Diceros bicornis minor: one gene and its partners. The protein of the gene in region 2 interacts with the protein of the main gene of each other region in a biochemical or structural test. Links are inferred from orthologs where the notes say so. Each region holds a gene or a part of one and is shown on either strand. Other genes may lie near its edges.

Region 1 (3,743 bases), on a different chromosome or scaffold from region 2:
GAATAAACCTGCCGGGTCCCCCTCCCCAAAACAAGAAAAGGTTAAGCTTTTAATTACAGGCCCTCAAACTATCATTTTGTGCAATTAGCAATTAACTATAATCGTTGATGAGAGAATGCAGAGCTGCGCTAGCAATTTCCCTCCTCCTCATCTCAGACTGGGTTATTTTAGTCCCCTTCTATTAGAGAGGACAAGCCACAACCGCGCGCGCGCTCTCTCGCTCTCTCGCTCTGTCTCTGTCTCTCTCTCTCTCACACACACACTCACTCACTTAAAGGCACACTTAATTTTTAGCAAAATGGCATCCCAGCGTGCGATGGAGACAGGCATCCCGAACCCCACATGACAGCAGACCAAACGTTTAGACCCCCTCCTCTTCGTCACTTTCAGCTGGAGAGGGGAGGCCCGAGGAAGACGCTACCTACCAGCCTCACAATACCAGCCTCTCTGGGGCGCAGGGGAGGGTGGTAGAGAGATGTTTGTTGCCCCTGGAAGCGACAAGTCCCCCGGGCTGCAAGCCCCACTAGTGGGAAGGCGGTGGCAAGAGCAGCAATAGTTGCATCAGCGTTAACTGCTGCTGCCGCCGCTGCTGCATTTACTGTTGGCGGCGGCCGGGAGGTACAGTAATGACTGTAGGGAGCGCACAGCTGCTGCGGCGGCAGGTTCCCTGGATCAGGAAATTAGGGCAAACACCGGGGATTGGAGGCGAGGGCGGCGCGCGAGCCAACCAGAGGCCGCCCCGGGCCCCCGTGAGCCCCGGGCGGACGCGCGGAGCAGCGGGGCCCCCGGAGCAGTCCGGGTGGCAGCGGCGGCCACGGCCACGGCCACTCAACACGCGCACGCTCACACTGGCACACACACACACCCGGCGCAGACACCTGGCTGCCCCGAGCTTATAAAAGGAGCGCGTAGAGGCGAAAGGAGGGCTGAAGCCGCCGCTCCCCTGCTCCCCGCTGACCACTCCCCCTCCTGCCCCCTCCTTGCTCCTCACCCCGCGCTCCAGCAGCCGCCAGTGTGGGTGCTCCGCGGCCGGCTCCTCTCTCCTCTGTCTTCTCCTCTGCTCTCGGCTCCCCACCCCCTCTCCCTCCCCTCCCCTCCTCTTCCCTCCTCTCCTCTGCAGCGCCTGCATTATTTTCCGCCCGCAGGCTCGGCTTGCACTGCTGCTGCAGCCCCGGGAGGTGGGTGGGTGGGTTGGCTGGTGGGGAGGAGATTGTGCAAGTTGTAGGGGAGGGGGGGAACCTCTTCTTCCCCGCTCCCTTTCCCCCTTCTAACTCCTTCCCCTCCTCCTTCCCCTCCCCCCTCCTCCCTCCCTGCCCCCACCTCCTTCCTCCTTTCCGAAGGGCTGGTAACTTGTTGTGCGGAGCGAGCGAGCGGCGGCGGCGGCGGCGGCGGCGGCGGCACCACCACCATCCAGGCGGGCACCATGGGCACGTCCGCGCGCTGGACGCTCTGGCTGCTGCTCGCGCTGTGCTGGGCGTCCCGGGAGATCGGCGCCACCGGAGCCGGTGAGTGACAACGCGTCCCTCCGCGGGCTGTTCGGACCCAGCCGGGGTACCAGGGGGCCCCGAGGCGCGGGGTTCCTTTTGCCCACCCCCCTCCTAGGAGGCGCCTCTCCGCTCTCCTCGCCTTCTTTCGCTCCCCACCCTGGTGGCGCCTCTGAGCTGACTGTCAGCGCTGCGACTACGGGGAGCCGGGCTTGGGGGACAGCGAGGTTTGGGGTGTCCTAAAGCCTTGCCTGAACTAGTCTTCATTCTCTTACACTCCCTTCCCCAAAGCCACTGCTTTGCCTCGTTTTTCATCCCGCTTGGCAGGGACTGGGGAATGTGGGCTTCTGAGCCATTGAACAATGGTTCTGTCTCGTCTGCCAGGCGGAGTGTTAGGAAGGAGGCAGAGGGCCGGGCCGGGCCAAGACGTGCGCGGCAGCCCCGGGCACGCTCCTCGGATTTCAGAGAGGGTGGGAGTGGACGTTGGAAGAGGGTGGGCGCCTCCGGGGACGCGGAGCGCCGGCCGGGGCAGGGAGTCCCCCGCGGCTGTGGGCGGCAGCCGGGAGGCTCCGCGGAGCCGCGAGAAGTGCGCAGCCTGCGCGCCCGGACTGCGACTCGCCGGGCGCCGAGCCGTCATTCTGGAGTGCAGGTTAGAGGGCGAGTGAGGCTTGAAATAAGACTCCCCTCTAGGTGTTTCTCCCCTCTCCTCTTTCCACCCCTCGGGCTGCGTTGGTAAACCTCTCGGGTTTACAACCAAGCTCGTCTTCGTATAGCTGAACGGGGGAGGGGAGTGGAACGAAGACTTTAATCAGGTTAGTTTGCTGATCCTCGTTCCCGGTGAGATTTCCTCGAGAGAAATTGAGTCCTAATCTAGTGACTGTAATTAGCCTTCATTCTAAACAATAGATCAAAGGGAGCAGCGCGAGAGCTGGTGTGTGGCTCTGGCTTGTTGGGAGGCGGTGGTGACTACTGTCCGGTCCCCAGGGTCTGCTGCGCTGGGCCTGGGAGCCTTGTCCTCAGCCACTCTCCCGCTTGGGGCCGCACAACTTTCCCGGGCAGGCGACAGGACGCCCTTGTAAGAGGATTCGGTCAGAGTCCTGGCGGGTCCCTGAAGTGATCTTGACATGACACCCAGGGACTTGCTCTCCAGCTCTAGGGAACTGGGGCAGAAAGCGGCCCCCGTCTTAAGTACCTGTTCCTGAGTCCCTAGCTCCTGTTGCCGGCTTAGGAGGCCCGCCCGCCTGCAGTCACGTGTCCCCTGAACTGAGAGCGAACTTTCAAGTGTGTGGTGAAACAGCCTCTCCCGCAACCCTTGGGGGTTTTCAGCCTCCAATGCCCCCTGCCCTTTGGTTCCGACTGTCCCGAGCGTGTGAAGCTGGGACGGGCTTTTCTGCCCTCTGCGATTGGCTGGCCGCCCGATCACGTTTAGGTTGATCACGTGTCTCCACCGACTTGCCACTTAGCAGCCGGTGAAGTGTTATCTTTACTCGAACGTAAAACACCGGACCAGCCTCCGACCGACTGTACTCTCAAATGCCTTTCTCTGCCTGGACGCCTTGAAAAAGACGTGTGTATCGTGAAGATGGCCTCTGATGTGTAACAAACCTAAGAACCTGGAAAAGCCCTGCCTACAAGTTTTCAGACTGGAACATTAATCGTTAATGGATGAGCAATACTAACTTATTAAACGATTTCTCAGAATAGTACTATGACTTGCATTATACTTTTCATAACATTTCAAAAGACTAAGATACACCAGAAACTACTAACTGGCCAGGAAGGTGGGAGAAAAGATTCATTTTTGCTGCATGTTCTTTTCATACTCTTTTAATTGAACATAACTTTCCATTGGAGGGTAACATTATCCTATAGAATGCTAGGAATGCACCTAAACTGTTGAAATGAGTTAGTTGAAGCCATATGTTCACCTTGCATTAGGTAGGTGAGGATCCCTTTTGGCCCCCTAGGTCACATATGAAATGTGTGACATGCCATGAACAGTGGAAAATAGAAGCCCATGCAAGACTTAAATTCTTCAAAGGAAAGGAGGCACATCCTTCTAAAGTGGAGGGAATTGGGGGTTGGCTGAGGCAATATTGACCCTAAGCCAACTCAGACTGGCTCTTGACTGAGGTTCAAGGCTCCAGGGCACGTGGGCTGACTTTCTGGCCCTGGTCTTCTACAGTGGCCCCTTCTCCCCAACCTCCAACTCCTCTCCTGATACACACTCATGATGCTGGTCTAAAATACTCGAGGACA
Region 2 (3,743 bases):
AGGAATTTAAAACCTGACATTAGCTGTTCTCAAAGCTGATAATAATTTGATCTTCTTAAACTTACATAATAAAATTTCTCTACCTTTTCTGGTGGTAGAAAAGAGGTAGAAATTAAGACTTTCCCCGCAATGTCCAACTTGAAGTATTACACTTTACTCTTACTCTAGATCATCCACTCCTTTTCAGACTTAGGGATGTGATTATGGCCAGTCTTAGGATGACTTATATTTGCTAGCTTTATAGCAAAAGCAAAGGCTATGTCATATTTTGGTATTTTTAAGTTTTCTATGCTGGCACCTTACAAAGAATGTGGAAAACAGAAAAAAAAATAAGGCTTTGTATTATCACATGGTCTTCCATCACAATCCGACAATCACACCTTTTAGCCCAGCTGTGACTCAGTTACCTACCACCCTCCCTTAGAGCTAATAACAGGCAGGCACTCTTGCTAAGGGTCAGTCCGAGTGACAGGCTCAATCAAGCAGTCTTTGGGCTGGGTTGCCATCATATTGGCTGGTCCTCCCACTTACAGATTCTCATGACCTCAGAAAAACACCAGATTGTTCTTGGGAAGAGAATGTGGTAAGTGCTTTTATTAAAGAAGGGACTAGTTACAGAAAATTAATTTTCCAAAGTCTAAAATTCCACTGAATTAGACTCCCGCTGCACGGACAAGGCTGCCACCATGCCACAAGAAAGTTGTAAAAGCACTATTTTAAACCTCTAGAAAGCATTATTTAGGCTAAACCTTTTACAGCAGATATGAAAGGTTTTAAAAAAAAAATGGAAAACTTAAGGATTCTTATCATTTTCATACGCATGTTTATCTGAAATGCCAGCTGCTCCGTGGATTATCTCCTGCCATGTTAATAACTGTTAGCCTATAAGAGATCGAACCTATAATATGAGATTAGTAGACAATAGTTTCTATTTGGTTGGGTACAAGTATTTTTGCCTTGAAATTCTAATTAAACAGTGCTTGTCGTGGCTTAAAAGCTCCATGGAACTGAAATATTCAGAAGTTCCAGCGGAAATACAGAAAATAGTATCTTTTTATTTTCCCACACACTCAATTTACTAGCTTAAAAGATTAAAAAATACATGCACTATACAAAATTATTTTTCTTGGAGCTAAATACTATATCTTCGATAAAGTCTAATTTTGATGAAGGACTCCATAATGATCCTTTTTTAAAAGATACTTTTAAATTATAAAGGTAAATTATGAGAGGCTTCCTGCCCCTACCTGGAAATTAAAGCTGTGCAGATAAAAGACAAAGTCATTAATAAACATCACAGAGATCATTCTAAAAACAAGCAGCATGTTAAAAGTAAGAGAGGAATCAGAAGAAATATCAACTACTGACATTTTAAACGACACTTTAAAAGAACAGAGAGCTGGGAGCAGCCGCCCCACTTCGGGAGGGCTCTGTGACACCGCGAGGAAGGAGAGGAACCCCGGCCGGGGAGCGGCGGGAACTTTGCGGCAGGCGGGCGACGGCGGGGCCGCCGCGGACCGGGGCGCGTCAACCTGTCACCAGCCCGTCCGCAAAGCCCAGGACCAGCCCCAACGCCACCCAGGTCCCCTTCGGGGGCAAGTGGGAGCAGGACAAAGGTCTGGAACCCAGGTGCTGGGGTTAAGGACACAACATGTACGGACTCATTCAACGTGTCAGCTGTAGGAGCAAAACCTGAGGGGGAGAGACTCCAGCCCCCGAGAATTCTCAGGTGTTTCCCACAAGAACCGGCTCATTACGAGGAGACGCGGGAGGGGAGTAGAGAATAAATCCCAACTCGCGAGCCGAGTCTCCACTAACTTTGTTCTCTCTCCCTCCACAGAGCGCAATGTCGAGGGGCAGGGTAGTTTGGGTTCTCGCTGCAACGGCCCCTTGGAGAAGGCAAAGCAGCAGCAGCTGCGCTCGCGGGCGCACCGGGCGGGCGGCGATGCCGCGGTACCTACCATGGTATTCTTGTCCGGGGACGTAGTAGGTGGGGTTGCCCGCAAGGTGCAGGGAAATGAGCACCTCACCCTGCTCCCCATCCCCTTCCAGCTCCCCGTGGTGGGTGCACAAGAAAAAGAAGGGCGAGAAGCGGGGGTAGTAGCCCGCCGCGGCGCGCGCCCTCAGCGTCGCCCCCAGCAGCAGCGCCAGGAGGCAAGTCCGCGGGGCCCAGCCGCTGCGCTCCATGCCGCCGCCGCGCGCCACGAGCGCCGCTCGCGCATTCAGTTCTGCAGCCGCCGGGACGGGGAGCCACGCGGAAGGCGGGCGAGAGGCGGCGGGCGGGAGCCGAGCGGGCTCGGGAGCGAAGCCGGCCGAGAAGTTCCGCGGGCGACGGCGGCTCCCAAAGTTTCTTGGGGCCGCGGGAGTGCGGGGCCGGGGCTGCGGGCGCCGAAGCGCGTCGTCCGCCGCCTGTGTGCGCCTCCGTCGCCTCTGCGCGACGCCCCTCGGCCAGGCCTGGGAAAGCGCCCGCCCCCCTCCACACCTTCTTAAAGCCCCGGGCACCGCGTCCCCCCCGCCGCCGCCACACGTGTCCCGGCCGCGCCCCCGCCCCGCGCGCCGCCCCGCGCGCGCCCGCCCGCCCCCGCCCTGGGGCTCGCTCGCCCGCACCTCGCGCGCCTGGGGCGCACGCCTCCCCGGGGCCAGACGTCGGAGCCCGGTGCGCACCCGGGAGGGCCGCTGCGGGTGCCAGCCGGGGCTGGGGGGTGGTCAGGGGGCGTTGTCGGAGGCCACGGGGTCTGCGAATGTACGGTGAGAAACGGAAAAGCCTCGGAGAGAGACCCTCCCGCCCGCTGTCTGCTGGAGCAGGAGAAGACTAGCCCCTTTGGCCCTCAGATGGCCTTCTTTTGCCGACAGGAGGCGCGGGGGAAGGAGAGCGGCGGCGGGACCGGCGCCGGCGCGGGTTTCTTTGTCTGCGCCCCGCGCCCCTCGGGGCTCGCCGGCTTCGGAGCCCGAGCGGCCTGCACTCGTCTGGGGATCGGCCCGCGGCCCCGAACCGCGGAGGGCGCCTGCGCTCCCCTCCCATCCAGGCCTCGCGTCCCGCCTGCCACCCCCCGCCCCGCTCCGCACCCCAGCGACAGAGCCTCATCTGTAGCTGGATTTAAAATGAGATTAAGCGAAAGTGGAATTGGCAGCTTCGAGTGGTGCCTGAAAATGGTGATTTGTGCTGCTCGGGTGGGGGGAATTGTGTGGCAGGAAGGACCGGCGGAGCTGAGACCCGACAGGCGCTCTTCGCTGGACTGTTCTATTAGTCATTGCTGCTGGGTTCTTCAGGCGGAGATGGTTGTAATTTTTTAAATCAGTGTTTGTTTCCCTTAAATGTCAGCTACGACCAATGTCCCTGAAATGGGGGGATGGGAAAACGTTCTGGGGAGATGCTGGCAGCGGTGATTGAAGCGGGTCGTAATGAGCTGCTGCACAGGAGGCTGCAGGCAAGCGAAATAAAAAGCACGTTTTTAACCGAGGACGGCTGGCAGGAGCCCTGCGGCTTCCGGCGATGGGGGAACAGGGTTGCCAGGTTTTAATGCCTCTCCCCACCCACCTTTGGCTTGCCACCAAACCCAGATAAACTCGCACGTACAGAAATGAGTATAAAATGGGAAGGGATGATATCTTTGCCTGCATTTTGGGGTGGGGTGGGGAGGGGAGGGGGAAAGGCAGGGTCCCAAGGGAGACCTCTGTAGTCACTTCGTTGCAAAAGGAAGAGATTGTTTTTCTTCCTCTTACCTGGGCCAAGTTCAGACAGG
Region 3 (3,743 bases), on a different chromosome or scaffold from region 2:
GTAGGTGCTCAGCGAGTTTTTGTTGAAAGTATGCCTGCATTTCACTGTCTGCCTGTTGATGGTGTGTCTCCTGGCCAGTCAGGGACCTCACTGGGGCTGGTAGCAGGTCTGATTTACGTTGGTACTCTAGGCCCACGACAGGGTTGGCACAGAGCAGGGCTGGCCTTGTTGGAGAACCGAATGAACAAAGGATAGAAGGTGGTAATGGCAGGAGCAGCTGCCGCACTCTCTGAGGTCTGCACCTCTCTCCCGTGGGGTGGCCATGGCCATTGTCGAGGGGGCTGCCCTTTGTGGGAAGTAATAGAGCTCAGGAGGCTGCTAATGAGACAGAGTGGCTTCCAGGCCTGGGGCTAACAGCTCCTGAAGCCCCCTTTCCTGCCCCTCTGCCATAGAGGTGAGGGAGCAACAGGGTGGGGGAGAGCTGACCTACACTGGGCCCAGGCACCTGCAAGCCTGCCTCTGTTAGCTGCCAATGCTCTCAAACCTCTTTGTCCAAAAAAGGTTATGTGGGTTGGGCCTCGATTATCAGCAGGCACCTAAAATCTAGTCCCAGGTCTGCCCTCTACACTCTGCACCCTGGCATAAGTGAGGCAGGGCTGCTACCTTCCAGAAGAGGGGGCTTCTCATTCATGCAGAGGCAGCAGAGGTAGCCAGAGGCCCTGGGTGTGTGTCCGCTACTGGCAGGGATGACGAATCCCTTCTGTGGTGCCCCACGGTCCTGCCCTCTCCATCACAGCAAGAACTAACATGTTGTCCCTGCTGGTCCCCTGCTTGTCTGCCCCTCTGCCTGGCCCCGTGGAGAGTACCGAATAAGGATGGGTGAATAAAGTCTGTGGGCCAGGCCCAAGCCACCTGCCTCACATCCTTGGCCGTGGTCACATGAGTGTGTAACATGCACAGATGCACATGGCTGCATTAACCAGCTACACAGATGTGTAATATGGGGTTGTAGCCAGTGAGGGGTGCAGAGGTCCCGCCCTGCTCCCCCACCTTCTCGATCACACACATCCGGGTACCCCAACCCCTATCTATCACCACTCCTGCTCCACGTGCACACTGCACAGGCCTGTGCACCGGGGAACATCATCTCCCCACCCGCCCAGGTTCACTCCTAGGCATCCCTCAGCCTCCTATAAGCCTGTCACCTCCTCCAGGCAGCCTGTGCTGCTTCCTCTGGACTGTCTGCTATCTTTGGGTGGCAGGGGCCTCGCCTGGCTCATCCCAGCGTCTGCGGCGCCCAGCACGCGGGCGGGCCCAGAGCAGGGTCACCAAGCGCCTGCTGAGGAAGGAGAGGACCAAGGACGTGAGGGAGGCAGCAGAGGCGGCGGCGGCGGGAGGGGCGTGGGGCGGAGGCGGCGGCGGGAGGGGCGCGCGCGCTGGCGGCGGCCGCCCAGGGCCGGGGCCGCGCGCCCAGCCTGAGCCCGCCCCGCCGCCGAGCGTCACGGAACCTGCTTGAAATGCAGCCGAGGAGCCGGGGCGGGCGGCAGCGGCGGCGGCGGCGGCGGCGGCGGGGGCAGCGGCAGCCCCGGCGCCGCGGCGAGGACTCGGCGGGCTGAGGCGCGGCGGCGGGGGCGGCACCGGGTGCGTGGGGCGCGGCGGCCGGAGCCCGGGGCCCGCCATGGGCCGCCCCGAGCGGGGCGCGCTCCGGCCGCTGGCGCTGCTGCTGCTGCTGCTGCTGCGGCTCCAGCATCTCGCGGCGGCGGCGGCGGATCCACTGCGCGGCGGCCAAGGTGCGTGCGGCCGGAGCCGCCAACAAAGCGCGGCCCGGGGGCCGAAGGGCAGGGGGCGGGGGGCGGCGAGGCCCCGAGCCCAGGCCTGGTCGGGGCGCCCGGGTGGATAGGCTCCTCGGGACCCAGCCATCTCTTCGTTTGCCCTCGACCCCCCGCGGCTCCTGCGTCGTGGGCTCTGCCCTCCGGCACCTGCTCGCGGGGGATGGGCGCAGTGGGGGCCTGGCCTGCCGGGAACTTTGCGGGGGGTGGTTATTGATGGTTTCGGGTGGGCTGTGTGATTCTCGCCGTTGAGGTTTATTTGACACGCGCGCTCCGCGGCGGCGGTGAGCGGAGCCTAGCGACTTCCCTGCCTGACAATGCGTTTCCGGGGACCCCTGCGTGTCGCCTTGAAAGAGGGGCTGTGTGCGAGGGGGATGTGCCCGCAGCGCCCACTGTGGGTGTCCTGGCGTGTTCGGGGCTCCCTGTGCGCTGTGTCTGCGTGGATCTCTGACTGTGGGCCGAGTGTGCGGGTGAGTGTGTCTGAATGGGAGGTATACCTAAGTCGTGTGACACCGACGGTGTGTGCCTAGTCTCCTACCATGGAGCAGCCCGCCATCCCAGGAACCCCCACCATCCTGCCCTCCTTCCGGATCGAGGGTGCCCGAGGCCCCTGGGGCCCTTGGCTCCAGCATCCCCCCCTTTCCTTCATCCTAGTAGATCCCTCCCCGCGGCCAGGACTGCATGGCCCGCGCGGATCCGGCTCACGCCCGCTCTCCCCCGCGCAGGGCCGGTCAAGGAGTGCGAAGAGAACCAGTTCCGGTGCCGGAACGAGCGCTGCATCCCCTCCGTGTGGAGATGCGACGAGGACGACGACTGCTCGGACAACAGCGACGAGGACGACTGCCGTGAGTGGCCGGCCGGGAGGGAGGGAACGGTGGGGGGCGCCAGGCTCAGTGCGCACGTGGCTGCAGCCGCCGCCGGGCCAGATGCGTGGACCTCATCGCCGGAGCCCGCAGCCAGGAAGCCAACTGGGCGCCGCCTCCCTCGGGGCTGAATGGCTCTTAGCGACACGGCGGGAGCTGGGCGGCCGGCGTGTCCTAATGGGGCTGGAGGCGGAGCGCGGGGCGGCGTGGCCCGGGAGAAGGGCGCGCCACGCCCGGCAGGCAGGGTCGGAACTGTGGGCGGGGACTCGGCGGTCCCTGCACGCGTCTAGCTTTCTGCGGTCGGGCCCTCCGGGACTCCTGCCTCGGCCCCACCGAACGCACGCCTGCTTCAAAGTTCCACGCAGCTCCGGGCCTCGCGGCACTCCTTTCCCTGCTCGGTCTGTGAATGAATGGGCTCCCCGGGGCCCCTGATTGGCTGGACGAGGACCACCCCATAGGCCCCCGTGGCCGGAGCGGCCAATCGTGGAGCGGGCGTGCGTGCAGGTTTCCGGCACCCTGGGCGCAGGGGCCCCGCCCCGGCCGCACCCCCGCGCGCATCCCCCGGGAAGTAGGTGCCGGCGAGGCCCTCTGCTTTTCTGCATAGTCACCGTGAAGACCTTTTTGTGCCACCCTGGTTAGCCGACCGCGCTCTCCTGCCCGCCCTGCTCGGGCATGAGTCATGGGGCAGACCAGGAAGGAGGGGGCCAGGAGGAAGAGTTTGTTTCCTGGAAGGGGCCCCGGGATCCCGAGGCCGCGCGTGAACCCCCGCCCGTGTGCGGGCCGCCTCGGCTGGGTGTGATGTTTGTACACGCGGGTGTGACCGCCTTGGGAGTTCTTTCTTTGGGTGCGCCGTCGTGGATGTCTGTGGGACAGGGTGCAGTTAATGGGCAGTTGTCGCCGTGGAAGGAGTGTAGTTCCAGGAACAGAAAAACAGGACGCAGGCAGTCATTCATTCCTGGTCCCTGAGCGCACGCTGTGTGCCGGGCGCTGGGGCACTTTGGGGAACAGCGCACCTGCAGGCCGGGGAACACAGGGTCTACGGGGGGCGGGGGCAGACCCACAGCTCCACACAGTGCGGGGAGTGGGGCGGGTATCTGGACAGGCATTGTCT

What was found.
Region 1: the proteins of RELN (region 2) and VLDLR form a complex in vitro, tested with the Homo sapiens proteins (6 studies listed by BioGRID). The link is inferred for Diceros bicornis minor from reciprocal best matches to the Homo sapiens genes RELN and VLDLR.
Region 3: the proteins of RELN (region 2) and LRP8 form a complex in vitro, tested with the Homo sapiens proteins (7 studies listed by BioGRID). The link is inferred for Diceros bicornis minor from reciprocal best matches to the Homo sapiens genes RELN and LRP8.

Annotation. Positions count from the first base shown.
Region 1 is NC_080761.1:26,933,053-26,936,795, forward strand, and holds the start of VLDLR (very low-density lipoprotein receptor), read left to right. Parts: upstream 1-1,250; 5' UTR 1,251-1,423; coding exon 1,424-1,505; intron 1,506-3,743. UniProt on the Homo sapiens protein: Multifunctional cell surface receptor that binds VLDL and transports it into cells by endocytosis and therefore plays an important role in energy metabolism.
Region 2 is NC_080742.1:14,031,938-14,035,680, reverse strand, and holds the start of RELN (reelin), read right to left. Parts: upstream 2,331-3,743; 5' UTR 2,188-2,330; coding exon 1,962-2,187; intron 1-1,961. UniProt on the Homo sapiens protein: Extracellular matrix serine protease secreted by pioneer neurons that plays a role in layering of neurons in the cerebral cortex and cerebellum by coordinating cell positioning during neurodevelopment.
Region 3 is NC_080752.1:15,653,222-15,656,964, reverse strand, and holds the start of LRP8 (low-density lipoprotein receptor-related protein 8), read left to right. Parts: upstream 1-1,497; 5' UTR 1,498-1,618; coding exon 1,619-1,730; intron 1,731-2,494; coding exon 2,495-2,614; intron 2,615-3,743. UniProt on the Homo sapiens protein: Cell surface receptor for Reelin (RELN) and apolipoprotein E (apoE)-containing ligands. LRP8 participates in transmitting the extracellular Reelin signal to intracellular signaling processes, by binding to DAB1 on its cytoplasmic tail.